2 linked regions of the Lepisosteus oculatus genome follow. The protein of the gene in region 1 purifies or fractionates together with the protein of each later gene. This does not show direct contact. Links are inferred from orthologs where the notes say so. Each region holds a gene or a part of one and is shown on either strand. Other genes may lie near its edges.

Region 1 (11,032 bases):
AGAATTCTGTTTTAAAAACGATTACATTTGTTGGACCAAATCAGGTTATCCTCAGGAACACCTTCATATGATATGAAGTTTGCACTATAGAAGCCTCAGGTTCAAAGGTTAACTTGCTGCTACAAGTGGTCTATTGTTGTAGGTTCAATGTCGATTCTTTTTTTAATACTTGGGACACTGACTTAAAAAACAAACAAAAATGTGTATTCCGTTGTGATACACGACTAGTTCAAAGAGTTTAACATCAGCTTTAAAACCATAAGTTTTATTTAATAGGTAATTACATGTAATTTTACTTGAATATGTAAACCACGCTTTTTAAAATAAACGGGTGTTTATTTTAACAACTTTGTTGTTGTTGTTTTAATCAGTGGTGATAAGTAGCTTGCGTGAATCCTGATGGAAAAGGAAGAAAAAAAATGTTTTAATGCAGGTTGTACTAAAAGTGTTGAACATATGATGAAAATTCTGTTTAAATTTCTGTTCTATTTTAAAGAGATACGGGAATAATATGAGAATAACGACACCACATATCCACAGTTGTTGCTTTGCAAACTGGTATTTAAATACTAGCACAAAAAATGTTGATTGTAATTTGATTCTTCTGTCGCAAATTACAGAGCTGGATTTCGGCAGAGGTCACGCTACCTTTATTTATCTAGAAATGTAGTGCTAGACTCGCATATTTCGAGCTCCTTTGGCCATGAGCTAATAAAATATGTTATTTGTTGTCTTGGACCTTTCAAGTCATTTTGTACAGGTCGTATAAAAGTATGTTAGCTGGTCTGTGTTTACAGTCGGTTCTCAACGATTATGTCGTAGTGACTCGATTAAAAATTATTCAACATAGTTTGGGATTTTTCTCTTACTGAAGCTAATTGATCTTTATTATTGCTAAATATGTAGTTGTTATGAATGAGACATTTAAATTTAGGGAGTGTGTTACTTTTGTATGATAAAGTGTGGAGACCGGCTCCTATGGCATTGTGTCAAACAGGACATTTCACTGCGTCCCTCTGAAAAGCTCACTGGTCAGCATTCTTCGGCACTTTTTGTGTTAATGAATTGTACTAAAACAAAACAGAAACTCCATGCTGAGGGCGGTATTTCAAAGGCCCAGTGGTCTCAAAGGCTCTCTTCGGGATTCTCCCCATGGTTCTCTGATACCAGAATTATTAGCAAACATTATTACAAGGGTGTAACGTTTAATATGTATTACGTATGGGTTTCTATCTGCAGATAATGGATCTTAGTTCGTGCTGAAATATTATATATGGCGCGCATTCACCTACACAGCCTAATCCATATGCTTGTAAAGGTAAAGGTATTTCTCCTTAGAAAAGCCTATTGTGTGGGCCCTTGATATCACCCCCACTGTTTTCCTCCTTTTACATTGTCAGTCTCTGATCCTTGTCTGTAGTACGTCTTTAAGCCTTTGATGATCAGAGATATGTTTAAGATTACCATACAAACAATAGGTAAAACTGTTCGGAGATCTGAAGGCATTGTGAAACCCACAGTTGCGTTGTTGCACTTGTTTGATATCCAGGTTTTACTTCAGAGGAGCGGAAGAACCACGGGCATCTTGTAAATGTTTGAGATACAGTGCCCTTCTTTTCTCCGGGGGGTACCGGGTCATCAAAAGTTCACAGCCTAACTAACCAAAAGGTTAGTAGACGTGCAAGTTTACACACCGATTACTAATTAAGGCAGGCAGTTTGAAGATCTTTACTTATGAATCAAATTTTATTTCCTAAAAGTGAAAAACAGAATACTAATTTAATTGATCCGAAAAGATATAGTGTGCTCATCTATCGACTTTCTTTTTCTGTTCTAGAACGACGTGAAGTTCTTTTCAAAGATTTACGTCTTCTAGGAGTATAGCGATCCTTTGAATGCTTTGTGAAAGAAATAAGACTTGCAAATCTTGGGACGGATCAGATATATGAATGAAGAGAAAAAAAATATAATTACCAGATTTTTGTTTATTATTATTGTAATATATACAAACTATAAAATTAAGTAGGCTTAAGTACAAGGTAAAGGTATATGTACGACAGAAGCAAAATGTTGTTCCTAGGCAAACTGGTAGAAAAGTAGGCTAGACCTACATGTACAGCCTTTTAAAAGTACTAAAATTCTTTTCTTCAGGTAGGCTATATCATTTCCCCTGCCGCAGAAGCGATTTTTATTTTTACAGGTTATACATTTTAAGTGAGAAATGGAAATATATAGCTAATTTAATTTTTGTAATCTAATTTAATTCTCGAAAAAGAAAAGACAAATAGGTATAAGGATTTTAAAATGTAATGTTAATTATTATTGCAAAACGCTTCCATACGCTATTCTTTTTGATGAATTGGGACTTAGGTAAAACGATTTAAAGAGATAAATCTTTTTGCTTTTTTAAGTCAGGTTAAAGCGAGTTTGATTTCCTTAATTAGTTCTTTTACTATAAAATATCTATGTGCCGGAGAAGCATTTCTACATTATTTTATTAAAGAACACTCGACAAATTTAGTTTTTTTTTGTAAAATCATTTTTAAAGAAATTATACAAATATACAAAAAAAGAGGAAAACAAAGAACACGTCAATCAAAAATTAAGAGTGTAATAGCACTTCAATATGACAATTATCTTAATTATAATTACTGATTACACAATTGAAAGAACGAAAGGTCGTAATAGAAAACTTTAAGCATGTAGTAACAATTTCATGTGCTATACAGCAGAGACTATATACGCTTTTTAATCATTGAAAATGCCATTGAATTTAGGTAGGGCGTCCAGACTTACAAGAGTGCAAACCTCCTTTTCCAAAATGTCCTTTCAAGCTTAAATACACTTACATTACTATTATACTTAAAATGTAATGTATAATTGGTCTTCAGTTCTTAATGTCACTATAGTGGGTTAGAATCATTCTCACAATTTTTTAAAGGAATTCTATTGTTTGAACAGAAGAAGCATTATATAATTCTTAAAATATTATATAATATATTAGCAGAATTGTAACGTATTTCCACCAAAAAGTTACATCAGTTTTTAACCTTATATCAGGTTCATTGTCTGCTTGGTTACAGTTAAAAGGCTTGCCTAAATATGATTCTTCATAACAATACATCCGTAATTAAAAAGTTTACATTCGGGTGCTGTGCCTTTAAACACAGCTTCATGCAGAAAACGTCTTCACAAGCCTACTACTGTGTTTTTCCTTCTGTGTTCATAGTGGATATAGCCTCAGAAAAGTCAGGTAACCTGCTGTAGCCCGACCATTTTAAGTAAATGAGCACAATCGTCCACAGAGTAAGGTAGACCAAAAGAATACATTGACCTACAAGTTTCAGTTGTTCTTATTGATTGCCTCATATTAAAAATAAAGGAAACATGTACACATGGAGGAAAAAGAACGAAGCTGGATGAGTAAAGGGGGTCAGGGAATGAAGGCTATGGAGAACCTGCTTACATTCCTGAAAATCTCACAGATGAGGGAATTATTTCTCCCAGAGCATACCGATATTTTCATGAGGACCAAGTCATGAGGATCTACCTGGTGTTAGCAGTTACACAATGTAAATGATTAAAAATGATTAAAAAGGGATTTGTAATATAATAACATATAGCACTGAGACGAGTCATTTGGCCCACGAAGTCTGTTTAGTTTTCATTAGCTGATTAATTCATGGATCTCAACCATTTCTTGAAAGAAGCCAGACCTTCAACAACATGGCTGAATAGCTTGTTCCATTTCCCTACGACTCTTGAAGCAAAGCACAACTTCAAAGTTACCAATCGTTTTTCATTAAATCACTTTAAAATACAAATTTCTGTAGCAACCACACCTCTCTTTAAGCACCCATAACAATAAAATTCTGGCTTAAAATCTAATACATTAAGGCTATGAAGACCACAAAACACACTCTACCACAACAGTTTTATTGCTATTCCAATGTAAGGATGACATCAAATCCAAGCTGAAATGCTTTAACTGTTTAAAGTAATCAAATTGACTATAAAAGCAGTAATAGTGTATTCAATACTGAAGAAAACTCTGGATTGCTAACATTTTAAATGTTACACTGAAGTATTCTTGTATTAGTATCGTAACCACCAGTAGAGAACCTCCTTAGTGAACTTGCATTCATCACTGTTGCTAACGTTTACTAGAACTCATTGAAACCATAAATTGGTATGGGAACCAACTTCACTTGTTTCATTTTAATGCCTGTCAGTATATAAATGGTCTGAATCACCACTGAATGTCACATACTTTGAGACTGTCAAGTTTAAATGGAATCAGTGTCTTGTCAGATATATGTACCCTTCAGATCCTCTGCTCCTGAAAATGATATTGAAGATTATTGTAGGTCTGTTTTAGAATTAGAGAAATATTTTAATGGAAGGAAAACACATTTTAAAATAAATCCCAGTACTGGGGACAGCACATTTGTGCATCGAAGTGTAGTATTTTCTAACTATATATTTTAATGACATACATTATTACTCATATTGCTTTAAATGTGCTCTTGAACATAGTGAAATAAAGATAAACAAAACAAGTAAAATAAATAAAGTGCAGTATAATATGCAATGTTAAATATATGTCTCATAAAGTGTACACATTTATTCACATGCAATAAATCTTTACAAAATTGCCAACATGAATTATTGTTGTAACTACACACAATTCCTTTTTAGAATTTGGCTCAGATTGATATATTTCTTTGTTGAGGTGGCAAAAAATTGATGCTGCACCAAACTTCAGCTGAGCACTAGCCTTATAGAAAGTGGTCAAAATTGGATACCTTGCAGAAACAGCAGGTGATAAAGACTGTGATCCAAAATCAAGAGCTATTTAACTGGATACATAATACGCAGTTTTCCATGCTTACAGAAAATTGACTATTTACTATCAACAATGGTAAGAAGCAATATCAAGAGCAGTCCTGTTACACACAGGGAAGCAAATGATTCCTTTGCATATTATTTTGGTCCACTACAGATTATACCAGTTACTGGTCCTTCAACAGGCCAAGAACAAGTAGATACAGCATCAAACTGTAAAGTATGCACAGACTGCTAAATTCAATTAAAATTACACAGAAGGCTAAACATTTTCTGTTTCATCAGTAAATATCTGCAAAAAGGACATCTGAAATGAAAAAGATTGCTATACAATATGAATCTCATTATAAAATACAGATTCACAAACTGTGTAAGAGAATGTGTTCCGGGTCAGGCTTTGTTTGTGCTCACCAAATGAAGGCTTTATGCTCAAAACATGGAAACATTACTGAAAATGGGATTTCCTTAAACGGTGTTGACAATAAAAGTTTGCATTCAACCACCCAATCTCAGTTTTAGGTATATTAAATGTTATTTGTTCAAGGAAACAAATCTAATCTGGAAGTAGGGTAGCTGAAGAAATAAATCAGATGAGAGACAAATATGCATGCTTTCAAGTCAGAGCTATCCTTGAAAAATTTAAAGGGGTTGGGTTAACTATCGTCATCGTAAGGTTAAATCTTTATCCACACATTTACAAATAATCTAATTTAAATACAGCAATACTGGATTATACATTCAGGGACGCCAGGAAACTGACTGAAGAATGAGAAATATCTTCCTGGACCTCTCTCCGTGATACAGTCACCCAGATAATTTATGCTGAGGGAAAAATACTTGCAGTTAAAATTAATTTCAGAAAAGAAAACTAGATATCAGTCGTGTTTATTGTGTTGATTAATGCGTTACTGGTATTGAAAAAATGCTAATATTACATAAAACAATCAATAAACCCACGAATATATAATGAGACAAGCACAAAACATTTGTTATAAGTGGACAATCAAAAACACCTAAAGAAAATAGTTTATCAATCTCCCTAATGCGCCGTACGTCTTTTCATCTGCTTTTGCAACTCAATAGACAGTATCAGCCGCTACTCGCGGATTCGAGTTTTCGTGTTTTTACATTTGAAAAGACAGTCAAGATATACAGTCTCGGAACTGTATTTCCAAGGATTGATAAAAACAAGTATTAACGCTGTCGAGGATAATAAAGAAAGCTCCTCAAGAACAAATATCCAGTAATCTCTGTACACAATAATCCGGAAGAAGAATGATTGCAGTGCACCAGGAAGCAGTTGATCGAATGCGTGTTTATGCTCGTCTTTCACAGGGTTCACATCCTGAAGGCTGCTGTGCCCTTATCGTTGTCCGCTGCGGTGAATAGTGCAGTACAGTTTTTCCTTGTCTGAGACATTGTATTTTTAATCAAAAAGTGTAAATTAAAATTTTCGAGTTCATCTGTCATCATGTCTCTTGCTGCAGAGGCGTTTGTATCCCAAATAGCAGGTAATAACGCTTATATTACCGTAAGTGATAACTATGTGTTGCTCATATACTTTTACGTACCAATTACATATGTTTTAAATATGAGAACGATTTTCCCACAAAATAAATTCCTGCTCATGTATGACCTAAGAATGTAGTATCTCAACGATTTAATTGTTGCCTGACTGTCGAGCAATCCCATTGAGTATATAGAACTTGATTATCTTTTAGTATAGTCTATATTAAACAAAATGCAATTATCATGATATATCATTATAAAATGTGCAATAACATTCACGTCGAAAGGTTATAGAGTAGTTTAATATCGTATTTCAGCGTCAAACACCTAGCCCTCATATATAAGGTCGCAGAACAAAATAGTTTGTTCCTAACAATAAGGGGGTGATTTTTTATTACTTTGGCTTAGAATTAAGTTAACTGGGGTGTGATGAACATGTGTCATGTTTAAAAGTATAACAGGATGGTTGTTATTGTTTAAAACAAATGTTAAATTTAATGGAGACTGAGGTATTATCAATTAGTGTGTCATTCATATTACATAGTATCACTAGGTGTGTAACACTAAACAGTAGGAATTCTACAAAAGAGATGGGGAATAGAGTTTAATACGGTTTGTTTTTGGTGTAGCCGCATACAAAAAGTGACTTGAAGGTTATAACACTATTGGATTAAATCTTTGGTTAATTATGGAAGAGAGGATGTTTGTGGGAAAAAAAGTGTCCTTTAAACTTGAGTATAAAAACTCTTGTCTTTAAAATACCCATTTACTGTCTCTATTTTGTATGCGCTCAGAGATTTAATTATCAAGGCTGTTCCAAAGATGATGAAATCAGTAGCATGTTGACATATTATAATGTATTTAATGGTTTAGGAAATTATTTTATAGTTTCTGCTTTCTGTTTTAGCAGATACATTCATAGACTGTGAAATATTGTCAGGCATTTCTTTAAAAAAAACAAATTTCAGACATATAGGAATGGTGTGCAAGTGTGATGTAACGTTCTGTGTAGTACCCATACCCCCACCACCATTTTACCATACATTTTTAAACAGAAAAATCCTACAAAATATCCACCTTCGAATGGTGCTTAAACCTTTGAGTTGTATCCTGGAAGCCAGACTACAGTACCTCTGTGAAAACTGCCACAAAAGCCAGTTCCTTTTTGTAAAAATAAAAAGAAACTGAAACTCTACTGCAATTAAAGCGTACCATGAGATCAAGGAACTCTCGAAAGTCACATTTATGAAGGAATAAAGTTAAAAAAAAAAACATTGCAGGGAAGCTGGCAGAGAAGAGCTGTTCCCAGGATGTAAAAAAAAAAAATCAGCAGCCTATCATGACATCCCGCGTGACATATCTCCAAATATGTTTGCTTTATTCCATGACCTGGAAGCAGACAGTCCAGACTTGGAATTTCAAGTCAACAGCATCCAGAATACCACCGTTACAGGCACTGAAGTCCAAACTCCAGCCATATCAACTTTAAAGCAGAACTGCAATGCTAGTTTTCTGTTTCAGGGTTAGAAGGAATCAGCATTGATGCGTGCATTTCAAAGCACAAAAAAAGTAAGATGTACACAGTAGCTCTAATTTACATCACAAAACAGATGAAGGTTCCAGGTATGCACAGCACCATAGTCTGCGATTCAGAGTGAGGCAACTGGTAATGTGAAGTGGCCCTATGACATTGTAAAGAAGCAGGTTTGTGAATCCAACTCTTTTAACCTAATAGAAATATTGCTCTTGACTTCTGCCGACAAATACTACTTACTTGTTAACTCTGCATGCAGATCACATTGGAGCATTTCTGTGGTGAAATGTCTGTTGCACAACCTTTACTTATTTGCACCCACATCACATTCCAGTAGTCTTGGCAGTGACTAGTGAGCAGGAAGGGCTGTTTCACATCACAGCACGCACAAACCCGTGCTCTTGCCCAAGGCGGGACCAGGAATTGCGACAACATGGTGAGCTACGGTACTTTCACCACAAAGGTCCCCGTTTTGTGCTTAGTTCGAAATTCGTCAATTTCTTCTATACCGTTGGTGAATTTATTTTGTTACTGAGATTTAATGACCGGTCTGAAAAAATTGGGACTGCAGTTCCCCTTTAATTACTGCCAGGACTAAACAGAAAAAGACTTTACTTTCCCAAATGCAGATAGTGAGGTATGCATCAAGGATACCAAGTCAACAACAGTGTTGTCTGCATGTACTGTGGCCGTGGTGGCTGACATCATCCAAGGTGTTCAGGCTCCCAGGAATAAACCCAGTTAATGTTGATGTAATAAAAAGCGACATAAGCAGCCCTCTTTCCTTAAGAAAGAAATTCTTGGGAGACTTGGGAAACAAACTGAAGGCTAGGACTAAATTAGTGCTTTTCTCAAAGACACTGCCTGACCGTATGAAAGTGAACAAAAAGAAACGCTAGAGGACATGGTGTGTTGAAGAAGACTTCAGCATTTTCAGCTATCAGAATCCTTGATGTAGCACAGCCCATCTGTGCAGACAATGTGGATTCCATCTGAATGAGATGGGGCCATGAGGGCCTGGGGCAAGACTCTATAGAGGGATTCGACGAACGTTTTTACTAGAATAGAAGGTGAGAGGAACCATAGGAACTCTGCAAAGGAGATACACAGTGAGTAGAGTGAGAAGGAGAACCCAAGAGACAAATTTGAAAAGCACTTGCCTGTCTGTTGAGAAGATGGTGAAGGTGGATTCATCTGCCTTTGCTCTCTGCACCACTGGACTCGCAAATGTGCATTGTCAGCTGTGATAAGCGTTTTCTTTGTGCTGCAACCTGACTATGGTATCCTGCTCCTTGGAGTTCTCAATGGACAGTTTTTGGTGAAACCGGCTCCTCGTGCACCAGGTTGTAATTTGCAGTCAGTTGCTGGCCTGATTTGCATTGCATTTGTGATAACGCGCAGATATCACAATCCTGCCACACTGTTGGTCTTGAAACATCAGCAAACTGAGCTATCTTGGTCACTAAAGCTAAACCCACTCCAAAAGTCACCTCTCTTTTAAAGTCACCAGTGTCTCCTCTTTCAACGATGACAGCCGTAAATATAGCCAACCAGGCCTGTCCAGCATTTTTATACATGACCCTCAGTGTACTAGGATGTTGCTGAATTAACACATAAGCCACACCTGTGTGGAAGCCCTTGTTTTCAGCACACCTGGTGTCCCTCGTTTAACCATGTGTTTTCATTTTTTTGTCCACTACTTGAACATATAGGATTCAGACACATACAGCTAATCCAATTTAATCAAAGTTCTCAAAATCTATATGAATTGGACTTATAAAATATTCAAAGGGCATAGTGTAAGGTGTATTTCATATTTGTATATAATAAAATGTTGGATGTACTGTACGCAGGAAGAGGGGGTTATTGTGGGTTGATTTTCATTTTTCTCTCATACTTTGGGATGTCAGTAGCAGAAAACTAGAGTAAGGAAATTTGGATTGAGAACCGGATAATGGATGAAAAACAAACTACATATTAGAAATAAATGCTTAAACTAAGTGTAAGTAATTGTGTGTTTGGGCCACTCCTCTTCCTAATTTATATTAGTAATCTAGGTTACGGTTCAGTTAATAAAATACTCAAATTCACAATTGACACAACAATAAGTGTCACGGACGTCCAAAGGGACTAACCGTGGGGAGCAGGAGAGCAGAAAAAGACCCATATGCGTAGCGGCGAGACGGGAAAAAGGCCCGGGCTCATTAGTGCAAAGAGTTCAGGAATGCCGTATAGAAACCTATACCCTCAGGGAGCGGACGTGGGGCGCCCTGGTGCTAGGCGGGTCTCAGGACATCCGAACGTCAATGCTGAGCCCGGACAGAGTGCAAGACCCGGAAATATATAGCCCAAGGGAAAGAGAGGGACAGGAAGGACAGCAGACCGGAAATAGGGACATGACAGAGAAGGAGCGCCCTCTGGCTGCAGAGGGCATGACAATAAGAAGATTAGCAAACTCTGTAGAAGCTGAAGAAAAGAGAACTTTCTAAGGTGGGCAAACACCCAGCACATGACATTTAATGTAGGCAAGTGCAGAGAGTTGCATGAAGATAGCAGAAACATAAGATATAAACATCAGATGGAAAATGCAGAAATTAAAGAAGCTTCTTATGAAAAAGCATTATGTACCCGAGTCCTGAAGTAGAAGAAAACCCAGCTGGTATGTGGATCTGCAGGACCAGGCCTTACAGAGACCACAGCAGACTGCCGTCTCCTGTCAACTCGTGCTGTCTCCACAACAGCCAGACTCTGTCCTATCCAGTAAAGTGTCATCCATGTTGATGCAGAAATTGCAGTAGTGCAGTCTAATGATGTGTTGTGATGTTACCATTACTGGGGCACCTGGTGACTGTAACTGTAGTTGTTGATTTGTATAAGCAATCCATCTAGTGCTCTGTCTGGGTATTATGATCCTGGCTTTGATGTATTACAGTGGTTGACAGGGAGCAGTCTGATAATGCATGTTTCCCATCAGTTTATTGAACTGTTTTATGTTTTGCGTATCACGTTTTATTCTGAAATTCTAAAGAAGTCCACTGGGTTGACTTTGTCAAGGGCCTTTGAGGATTTTGCTGGATAGATAGACCATGAATGCCCTAGAGGTCTCACATTGCTGCCATCCACATTCCCTGAGTGCATTTCCTC
Region 2 (10,669 bases), on another chromosome or scaffold:
GCATTTCACCACAGAAATGTTCCAGTGTGATCTGCATGCAGATATGCAATATTTTTATTGAATTAAAAGACATGTATTCACAATGAAGTAAAGCTGCAACATGTCCGTTTTGTTGCCTTGTTCTGAGTCACAGAACATGGTGTTGCACATACATTACCTGGAAATTTAGTGTATTTTGTGATGTCAATTGGAGGTTTTACAAGTTGCTGTGTACAGTTTATTTTTAATGTGGTTTGAAATGCACTCATCATTGGTGATTCTTTCTAATCCCGAAATATAAAAATGTCATCGTGGTGCTTTTCAAGGCCAGAATGGAGCTTCTCATGCTTATATAGATGTGGATTCTTGGAGACATGCATTACTAAGCTATTGCTCATCTAACAGTACAAAAACTCATACTTGAAGTCTGAATCCCCCAAATTCTTTAAATCATTTCTTAATGTGAAATGGGTTTACAAAAACTCATTGAAGCTATGTAACAGTTGACATCAAAAACTTGTAAAATTAGTCATGTTGAATGAAAGGTGTAGCATAAAGATGTCCAATTTTATGTGTTCTCCCTTTATATGAAAATGTAGGGTCGAACAGTAGATTCGTTCCCTACCTACAGTAAAAGTGTATTTGTTTTAATGTTCATAATCATTATCTGTTCTATTGCATAGAATAGACATCATTAAAACCTATTGCACAAGCAAAACATTTGATAAAGTCACAGCTTTGAATCTTACTCTGGCAAGAATAAGTATTTATCTCTCATTTCCTTCTCCAGATCAGAGCCAAAGATCCTGTTTTCCTACAAATCCCAGATCGATGAGCCTGATGACACAGATGTTCACCTTCCCCCGACCTATGGTGTGGGCAAGAAAGATGGTCATGAACCTGGATTCTACTCCAGCACACAGATAGATACCTCGGGGTCCTACTTGGATGATGTCGCCTCAGGCCCTTATCCTGTGGGTAGCATTAACAGTATTGATAGTGACCGCTGGAGGGCCATCAATGCCTAGAATCCAATCCAGAGGAGGGGTAGGATTCTGCACCTCTCCAGGAACAGTTCTGATCATGAAATGTAAAAGACCATGTGCAGGATTTTATAAATCCATTCATGGGGATACTTAGCAACATGGATGTTGCTTTTGAGCAAAGCAGTAAATGTACAGTATATACATTCCAATCTGAAATTTGCAACAGGTAATCTCGGCTCCCTGCTGTCCCACATGAGAAAGGGAAATGAGCTGGCAGACATAATTCTCAAATCATTTTGCCTCACGGTTTTTGCCAAGTCATCCTCATTTTCTCTCAGACTCAGCATTTACATTGTATTACAAGTGATTCTTTTATTTTTTTTAAAAAAAGCTTTTAACTAATGCTTTATTGATGGCGTGAAACACTGACATACATGCTGCTTTGATTATATGGGAAATAAGAGACTTTACTGGAGTTTCTTAGAGGGGTTAATTTAACTTAAATCGTCACTTAAGAGTTTTGTTTTTGGTGCTTCAATGTAATAACACTGCTATAGCTTTGGCTGTAGCAAATTCACCAGAGGGGTTCGGTTTGTAGAAATTCTAGTCAACATGATTTATGGAGCAGTTGCAAATGTTCAGCCAAAACAGTAATTTATCAGTTAAATGGATAAATACCAACCAGTGTCAACTAGCTTATTTCTGTCATAAATTATTTTTTCCCTTTTTATCCTGTAATCAACAGCTGCTTTGTTACTTTTTCCCTGATATTAAGGGAATTTAGAAAAGTTGTGTTTCCATGGTAGGACCAGTGTGCTGGAATTTAACCACTTTAGTGCACTAAAAGAAATTCTATAGAAGAGCATTAAAATATAAATAAGGTGTATGAGAAAGAGTCTTATTTATTCCTATGTGCGCATAGTTTGTAATTAATGTTTGATGGACCCGCCCAGTAAGACATTGTTTTAATGAGAACGTACTGAACATCTGATTAAAAAATACTTAAAATTTCCATAACTGTAATTGAGAACCAAGCAGATGTTAATTGCACTCTGAGAAGCAGGATGGAACTCATTGTTTCAGCTGTGAATCCTACCTCAGGAATGAGGAGGCTGAAGAAGGATCCATAGCTAAAATATGTGTTTAACTGTTTTTTTTCTAATATTCAGTGTGGAGCTGAAAAGTAGAAAGAAATCTTTACTGGTTCCTTTATTGATTGCATGGTGAATGCATGAATGCAGTCTCCTGCTTTACTTGTACAAACTTGGAACATTTTCCCCAATATCACTCTATGTAACCTCCTCTTTTGTTTAACAATTTTTATAAATCGGGATTGCATACAAGCTGTGATTTTTAACCGTGGTAGTTCCCTGTTTGTGTTTTGGCCTTTACAAAATCTGGAGCTGTAACCTTATCAGTAGCACTAGAAATGTGTTGCTGTACTAGTATTAGACAAATAAGTTCTCAGAAAACTATATGGAACACTCAGATCCAGTATATCAGAAATAGAAGGATACAGTGTCTTGATATTAAGTACTATTTCTCAGCACTGACACCTCTTGAATAAATATTTTTTGCTTTAATGATTCCCCTGAAATGGATTATATTGTTATCAAGACTTCTTCAGTAGTTAACTAGTTTCCTTAACTTGTAAGGCAATAATCTGGGCTGGATTTTGCATCTGGAAATGCTGGACTTTTGCGTTTCAGGGAATAGATAGGATGATGTGGATTGTTACATCTGCTTGTACAGTGAAGATGAACATTTTTTTTGTGAGCCGTGAATTGGAAACATTTGTAATTTTAATTATTTTTGAATACTGTATTGTGTAAATCTGAATTGCCAAATCAGAATATTTTTGTGCTTTCATAGGGTTTAACAGAGGTGCAGATGTCACAATTACAGCACAAGTATTATACAATGTTTCTTAGCAAGAATTAAATCCATGTTTGGCAGTGAAAAAGGTTTTTGACCTGTGTGAAATTTAACTGGAAAGAGTACTCTAACTTTTGCACTTTGGGCTAAGCTTCTTTGGACTGCGTATTTTATTAAAAAAAGAGTGATTGAAATATTTAAATATAGACCACAGAAACTTTCCCACTATGAGATTTTTCTGTTTCTTAAATGTTAAATGATACACTTTGTTTTGAATATTGTGACCAAATTTTGAACTGGCCCTTTAATATGGCAAATCTGTGTTGGGATTTTGATGCAGCATAATAAAAGTTGCACAGGGAAATGTTTTCAGAGGAAGTTGCCTCTAATTGAAAAATATTTTTCTCCCATGGAATTTGGTCTGGAGCTGAAGACTGGCATCAAGATAGATGAATTCAAGATGACCCTGGGTTCTGTTGGAGGTATTTGACTGGTGGAATTGTGGAGGCTTGGAATTTGTATTAGGGCAGGGATCAACACAACACTTGATTCATCATTGCAAGACCAACATGAAAGCATGTAAAAATTAAACATTTTTTATTAAGAAAATGGTTTTATTTAATTGTATGTATTTCTATAGAGTATTATTGTGGTATGTTAAACATTCCTAGAAAGTGATTATTAAAAACGCTTCCTGTCTGCCTGCTTTCTATTTCTTTTGTCAATGTTTAGTTAGATTTTGTTTTGCCAAAGTAGAAGTAGAAAACTCATGGTAAGAGGGAAAAACAAATCTTACATATGCCTTAAAAGCTGAAAGCTAACGTTTTGTATTTGTTTCAGCTGGTTAAGGAATAAACAGTGTAATGTGCTTACATGTATAAGCACTTTTATATCCATTTACAGTATAATATACAGTTACTTGAACAGTACTCTCAAGTGGGTTTGAAATCTATGATCCAAACTCCCAAGATTAAATAATTCTGTAGGCCTACTGGAATTTGGAAGAAAAATGCAGGTATATACTTTTTCTTAGATCCGCCTTAGTCTTTACTTATCGTTTCATCCAATTCCATGGAAGTTTGAGGTTGGAAGCTGTTCATGGTATGAATGTGACAAAGTAAATATAGGAGTAATAGCTTTATTTCATAAAAGAGGAAGGTATACATAAATTAAAACGGTAAATTAAACGAGAAAGTTGAAGTGCAAAAATGAGTTTTAAGTCCGGATTAAAAATGTTGAGGTACTTGGAAAATCCAATTTGGTTTAGATAATCATTGCAAATTCCCAGACAAATAGAATAGAAAGCAAGATTTTCCAGTGTTCAAAGTGTATTGGGAAATTAAAGAACTCCCTCACGTTCAAAGGAAGTGTAGGTGTATCTGGAGTTCAACAATGATATGATGTGATGTTCACTGATGATCTCAAATGCAGATAAATTATAGGTAATACAAAGGGGGCAGGACTGTTTTTTTATGGCATAGCATTTTAATGCCTCTGTAATTCTACAGTCTGTGTTTAAGCTTTACAAATGCTTTAGTTGAGGGGACACAAACAGTCAATAAATAGCTAACCCTTAAAAATTAGGACTGCTGTATGTGGAGGTAGCTGCCAATACACAATAAAGAGCTGGAAACATTGGTATTTAGGGAGTAATAAGGGTTTCTAGTTCCCAATTTTCAAATTCCCTCTCGGATTGGGACGCTCTGTAACCTAGACATACTAAAACGTTGAAATGGAGTGTAATTAAGGCTGTCAAAATCAAGTAAACATGAGATGTGAATTAATGTGCAGACAGATTATTAGTTTACTAGTTTTAAGTTTTGATGGTTCAATTAGTCAGACCAGCATAATTGTCAAAAACGATTTAGTGCCAACTCTGAAACTCTTTGTTTTTGTATATAATTATAATGGTACTATATAGTAGCCAGCAGCCATATCACCCTGCAACTCACAACTGGCAACCCACTGAAGCTAAGCAGGTGTGAGCCTGGTCAGTACCTGGATAGGAGACCTCCTGGGAAAAACTAAGGTTGCTGCTGGAGGAGGTGTTAGTGGGGCCAGCAGGGGGCGCTCACCCTGCAGCTCATGTGGGTCCTAATGCCCCAGTGTAGTGACTGGGACTTATATATATACTGTAAAACAGGCGCCGTCTTTCGGATGAGACGTAAAACCGTGGTCATTAAAAATCCCAGGGTGTTTCTCGAAAAGAGTAGGGGTGTAACCCCGGCGTCCTGGCAACATTTCCCATCAGCCTTTATCAATCATGGCCTCCTGACAATCCCCCTCTATAAATTGGCTTCATTACTCTGCTCTCCTCCCCACTGATTGCTGATGTGTGGTGAGTGTTCTGGCGCACTATGGCTGCCGTCGCATCATCCAGGTGGATGCTGCACATTGGTGGTGGTGGAGGGGAGTCCCCATTACCTGTAAAGCGCTTTGAGTGGAGTGTCCAGAAAAGCGCTATGTAAGTGTAAGCAATTATTATTCATTAATTATATGTAAAACAATTATGTCTATCCTTTATTAAATGTAATTAAAACCACCAGACTTCCAGTGTCATTTAATTCTTGCAATGACACCTTGTTAGTTTATTAAAATGTAGGCCTGTGATGTCCAACAATAATTACAAATGACAAATACTGTTTAGAAACCAGATTGGTTGCATCTCTAATAGCATAATCAGCTGTTGACGGGAGGAAGTATTTCTGAACAAAAACGGTGCATAACTTATCTCTATGTACATAATAATCACTATTAAATCATTTAGAAACGGTTCTAAATATCTCAAAGGCATTCCTTTTTCATTTTTTCCCGAGCCGATTTTGTGTATAGTTATTGTACTTGCTCCCGTTCCCGTTTAAAAGATAACGAATGGAAAGATGTATCCGTTTTTCAAGCCGACGCTACATAAAATGTTCACTGTATGGCTGAGATAATACAGGCTCACAGGGATAATGCACGTTAACAAGCCCCGCCTGAAAGTTGTTGCTTTTACTGAACTACAGTTCCCACTTGAATCCGGTTCCCTTCGGTAGCATTCTGCAATGTGATTGGGCTTCCCATGTACGTCTACCAATTGCATTTCACAATACTGGCATGTTAAAAAAATGACTTTTCATGTGGAGCGAAGGCTGAAAGGTCCATAGATTTTCAAGTGGTTGCAGAGGAATATCAGTGTTTTAATAATCCAAGCAAAATAACCGAAGGTCGTACTGAAGGACAGCATTTTACAATGGGAGGGAGTGAGAGTGTAACTAGAAAGGTGTCTTTTGGTTTGGACGAGGAAGACAGGGTGAGGGTTTTGCACGGAATCAAGGTAAGGAAGGAACAATTGCCAAAAAGCAAACTTATTGGAAAGGTCCTGCACGCTAAGGAGAACGTATTACGTTTATAGCAAATGCAAAAATGGAAACTGAGCTTTATCTGGTTTTTAGTCACCTCTTAAGTCTAGCTCGACAACCTTATACTGGGTACAAACGCCTGGAGATGCAATCCTGTCTTCTAACATCGGATGGAGCAATTTATGTGGGCTAGGGAAGCATCCCATAAGTCATGGCTTTATACAGTTCTCGGCACCAAACCAAAGTTGACCTCTGATAAATGCTTGCAGGTTTGCAAGCTGTCTTGCTTTGTAACAGGCAAATCGGATGCTGACTGCCTCAAATGCTGCCAAATTGCCGAAACTGACAATGCCAATGTTACTGTTAAAGCAAAAACAAACGGTCATCCTGTAGATCAACACGCCAAAACAAAAACAATAGCTGTTTTCTCATACAGGCCCAATTCATTTTTATTTGAAATATAACATTAACTTTCTAAATTACTCACCAAATAAACGTGGTAATTTGTGTTCCAGTTTTGGAGCATGTTTGCCTTTTAATCTCGTATTTCACTGTCTTGAAATGCCTGTAATGCTATGCTTTCATCAAGTGCTCTTCAACTTGTGTAAGCAGTGGTTACTATTCACAATACAGCGATTGCATCGTTTATGATTGCAGGGTGTTGAGGTCCTTGTTTTTTGTGTCATCGAAAAATATGTACCTCTTTAAGCTCAGTGTCTCGAATCTCCAGACGCAGGCATAGGTTTGGAATTAGTGGTGCAGAGTTGCGAATCTCACCTGCTGGTCCTTAAGCACCACTTCCAGCAGCGACCTGATCTGGTGTAGCTGCTTTCTGTTCAAGGAATGTCTGGGCCCAAAGTTGCTTCTCTTCAAAAACGTGTTGCAATAAGGTCCTGAGGTGGCATGATTTTTGAATGTTGTACATTTTTCTGACAGCAGTTAATTTACTTAACACAGCCTTGAGACTTGATTGTTTGTTCAGTTCAGTTTATTGTCATATGCACAAGTGCATGCATATTTGCATGTGTGCTCCATAAGAAAGACATTAAAAGAATCACCAAAAACATAAACACAGAACAGCAGCAACAACAACAAGTTAAATAACATACAAAGCCAGTGGTAGGGGTAGAGTTCTGACAGTTTGTGGGAAGAAACTGTGTGAAAACTGTGGGGGGTTATGTGGAACATTGTTATGTGGAACATTGTCCAGTTAGCCTTTAAAATCGTGAAGTCAGCACTGAAAAGAAGTGCATTACTGTCACTTACACGTGCTGTTTGTCTACATGTATGGGTTCGCTTCCTGGACAAAATGATAACACACTTGTTTTCTCTGGGCAGTTGTCGGAGGATGTCATCAGGAAAATGAAAGAAAAATCAGCCGAATCCAAACCCTCTGCTTCAGACGAGTGGTCGTCCTCTCAGACAGAAAGCAGTAAAGACTCCTCAGGTCTTGTCTTGTTTGTGTGAACTATATTTACAAGTTACTGTTTCATCAATAGGTGTAATAATAGAGATGGTACAAAAAGTTTGAAAAGAAGAATTTCAATAAAAAAAAATAAAATAGCTTTTCAACAATTTTGCTTATTTCTAATTCCATCATACTGATGAGAGTGATTCGGGTGAACTGATACTTTTGCTTAACTGAAGATTAGTGAATGAGGGGCAGATGCTTACCTGTTGATTGAGTTTTCTTTGGAGAAAGATGTTAAGATTACATTAAATGCGAATACATTTAATTAATGTGAAAGCACTTAACAAACAGTGAAACAAAATGTGTTGGTGGTCAAACATTTTAACAACATCACATTAATCTGAAAATGTGAAAGAAAATAATGAAGATGTTTTCTTTTGTTGTTTGTAGGTTCAAAGATGCATTCGGGACACACAGTCACAGTGAAAGAAGAGGAATTATACAGAAGGTGGGTGTTTTCATTGGTTTTAATTGGTTTTAAGCGCTTTGAGAAGCTACCTTTAAAGGTGCTATATAAAATAAAGTTTATTATCATTATTATTATTTTTATTATTAGGGCCGTGCGGGTTTTTTATAAGCTATTCCGATCTAACATTGACCGTACTGTATTTTAAAAAGGTGGAGTTCGTCTGACACCCCGTGGTGAAGTGAAGTATTACATCCTTAAACGTGGGTTGGAAGGAAAACAAAGTATCTTAGAAGAATTCTGGGACAATATTATTCTAATATGATAGAGAAACAAATCTGGAAACATTGTTATTCAGATCTGAGACTAAACCTTTATATTATTTTAGTCATATTAGTTTAGTTTATTTTAGTTTATATTAGTTTATCTGTCAGTTTTCTCTCTGTTCATACAGTTCTCTGTTTTTAAACTGTTTACTAAGTAGCTTCTTTTCTTCAGCTAGTAGGTATAATATTGTGGTTTTAAATGTTAAAAGTGAAAAATCTGTTTATTAATTTGGTTGCTGACACTGTAAAGGTACTCAACCATTTTTTTAAGAAGTTAAACCCCACAAATATGTCATTATCAGACATTGAACATTGTGGGCTGTCCTGATGGAAAAGGGACCATGCATAACAAGCCTTTGAAGCCCCTGTTTAATATAAGTCATCAAGAAATACTTGAAGAATACTGTAGTCAGCTTCAGTGGGCAGATACAGTCCAGTTAATATTACTACTGCCAAGTCCACAGTATTACTATTCCAAATATTTTCAAAGAGCATCATTTGGCTTTGAATCTTCACTGTCCTTTTCAAATGCGTAACGTGGAAAAATGTCTGAAGGTTCTTAGCTGCAGATTTAACTGCAGCAAAATCATTCTGTCAGAAAACTGCTGAAGAGAGAATCTTTGCAAGCTTAGTCTTTTATGAAGAAAGATAGGATCTTGGTCTGCAGAATGACCTCCTGTGGCTACAAAACAGTATAATGATTGCATCAGTACTTTTTAATCTAGCTGAAACATTGCTCTGCATTAGCCTTTAGTGTGGTGTGGTGTGGTGTTGTGTGTTAATTTTTTTGTGCTGCACAATGCTTTGAAGTACTTTAGGAAATATTACCATAAATAAGATCATACACTGTCCATTTTGTGAAAAAAAGTGGATCAATATAAAAAAAACTGCTGACTGTAAAGAAATACCTCTGCTTGGAATGATGATGATGATGATGGTATTGATTAAGTTATGTCTTAACTCTGTGTTGCGGGTTGTAATTTTTTTATTTTTTGAAAATGCTATTAGTTGTAATAGTAGTTTTACTATTTTACTTTAGTAATGATGAAAATGTACATTATTTAAAAAAAATATCTTGGTTAATGTTGTTAATGTTTTGGTCAATTTATGCCCTCATACTTTTTTTTATGCTTTGTGTGTCCAGAAAGTGCTTTGCATTTTTGCCCGGATTAGGGTGTTCGGTGTTCTTGTGGTGCTGGAGACTGTTCTGGTTACAGGTGTGATGCCATACCTGCTTGACGCTCTCTTGCAGGTACGAGAGGGAGAAGGCGATGGTCCAGGAGGAGCTAGCTCGGATTGCCCGGAAGGAGAGGGAGTCGGTGCGAGACGAGCTGAGTCTGGCTGTCCTTCGGGAACGAGCCCACACACGCCAGGAGGCAGAGAAGGCCAAGGTGCTGGTGAGTGTCCCTTCACTGTGCCCCCAAGAACACAGCAGTGTACCTAAATGCAGATCCCTGCACGAGCTGGCGCCTTTAAAATGAGTCCGATGGAGTTTAAACTTACACAATCAGAAGTGAAGGCAAATTTTTTGGTATTTTGTTGCCTTAAAGCTTGGAAATTAAGGGGGAACATTGTAAATGTTGTTAATGGAGTCAGTCACCTTAAATTTAATACTAAGGATTGCCTTAATACTAATTGCCTTAACTCAACTCAAATTCATTCTATTAATTTCCCAAAGTAAAAAAAAGTGGCAGTAAGACAAGAAAGCCCTTGACCTATTCACTTATATTTTATTTATGAATATTATTTAATATATTATAAAATTATTTTTTAAATTTTAAATTAACTGGTATTTAGGATAGTTGTTCCAAACCTTTTTTTGTACAATGTTTTGCACAATGCTTGTAGTGCCTTTAGGTCTGCAGATAAATATTTGAAAATGAATATGGATCAAAACTAGATGAAAACAGACATGTTTGTGGCTGTCTTTTCTTTGTGCAGTTTTATCAGTGAGATAGTCTGGGATTTAAATTACAGTAAGCAATTAAAAAAAAGTTGTCCTAAAACATGTGAAGACAAAAGAATATTGAATTGGTGTGAAACTGTTAAAAGAGAACTCAAACTATTGAACTAGATTAATTTCTAACATTGTGTTGAACTAAAGAATTCAAATGAAACCAAGTTTGCACACTGGATGTTTGGCTCCTTTAACCCCTTGTAAACTCAACCTTGATTCAAATCCGAGCGACTCCCTGTTCCATACAAATGCATTCTGCTCTTCTGAAAAGCTCCTCAAAAGCTCCTCCTGTTTGTATTACCTCTTGCGGTGACTGTTTAACTAGTAA

What was found.
Region 2: the proteins of mtx2 (region 1) and chchd6a purify together in Homo sapiens (co-immunoprecipitation; 3 studies listed by BioGRID and IntAct, counting the BioPlex papers as one, with this or other methods). This does not show direct contact. The link is inferred for Lepisosteus oculatus from reciprocal best matches to the Homo sapiens genes MTX2 and CHCHD6.

The regions. Positions count from the first base shown.
Region 1 is NC_090707.1:17,460,569-17,471,600, forward strand, and holds the start of mtx2 (metaxin-2), read left to right. Parts: upstream 1-6,161; 5' UTR 6,162-6,316; coding exon 6,317-6,356; intron 6,357-11,032. UniProt on the Homo sapiens protein: Involved in transport of proteins into the mitochondrion.
Region 2 is NC_090699.1:61,086,844-61,097,512, reverse strand, and holds the start of chchd6a (MICOS complex subunit mic25a), read left to right. Parts: upstream 1-5,928; 5' UTR 5,929-6,072; coding exon 6,073-6,156; intron 6,157-7,519; coding exon 7,520-7,628; intron 7,629-8,042; coding exon 8,043-8,100; intron 8,101-9,636; coding exon 9,637-9,781; intron 9,782-10,669. Other genes in the region: tpra1 (transmembrane protein adipocyte-associated 1 homolog), read left to right, coding at 770-1,007. UniProt on the Homo sapiens protein: Component of the MICOS complex, a large protein complex of the mitochondrial inner membrane that plays crucial roles in the maintenance of crista junctions, inner membrane architecture, and formation of contact sites to the outer membrane.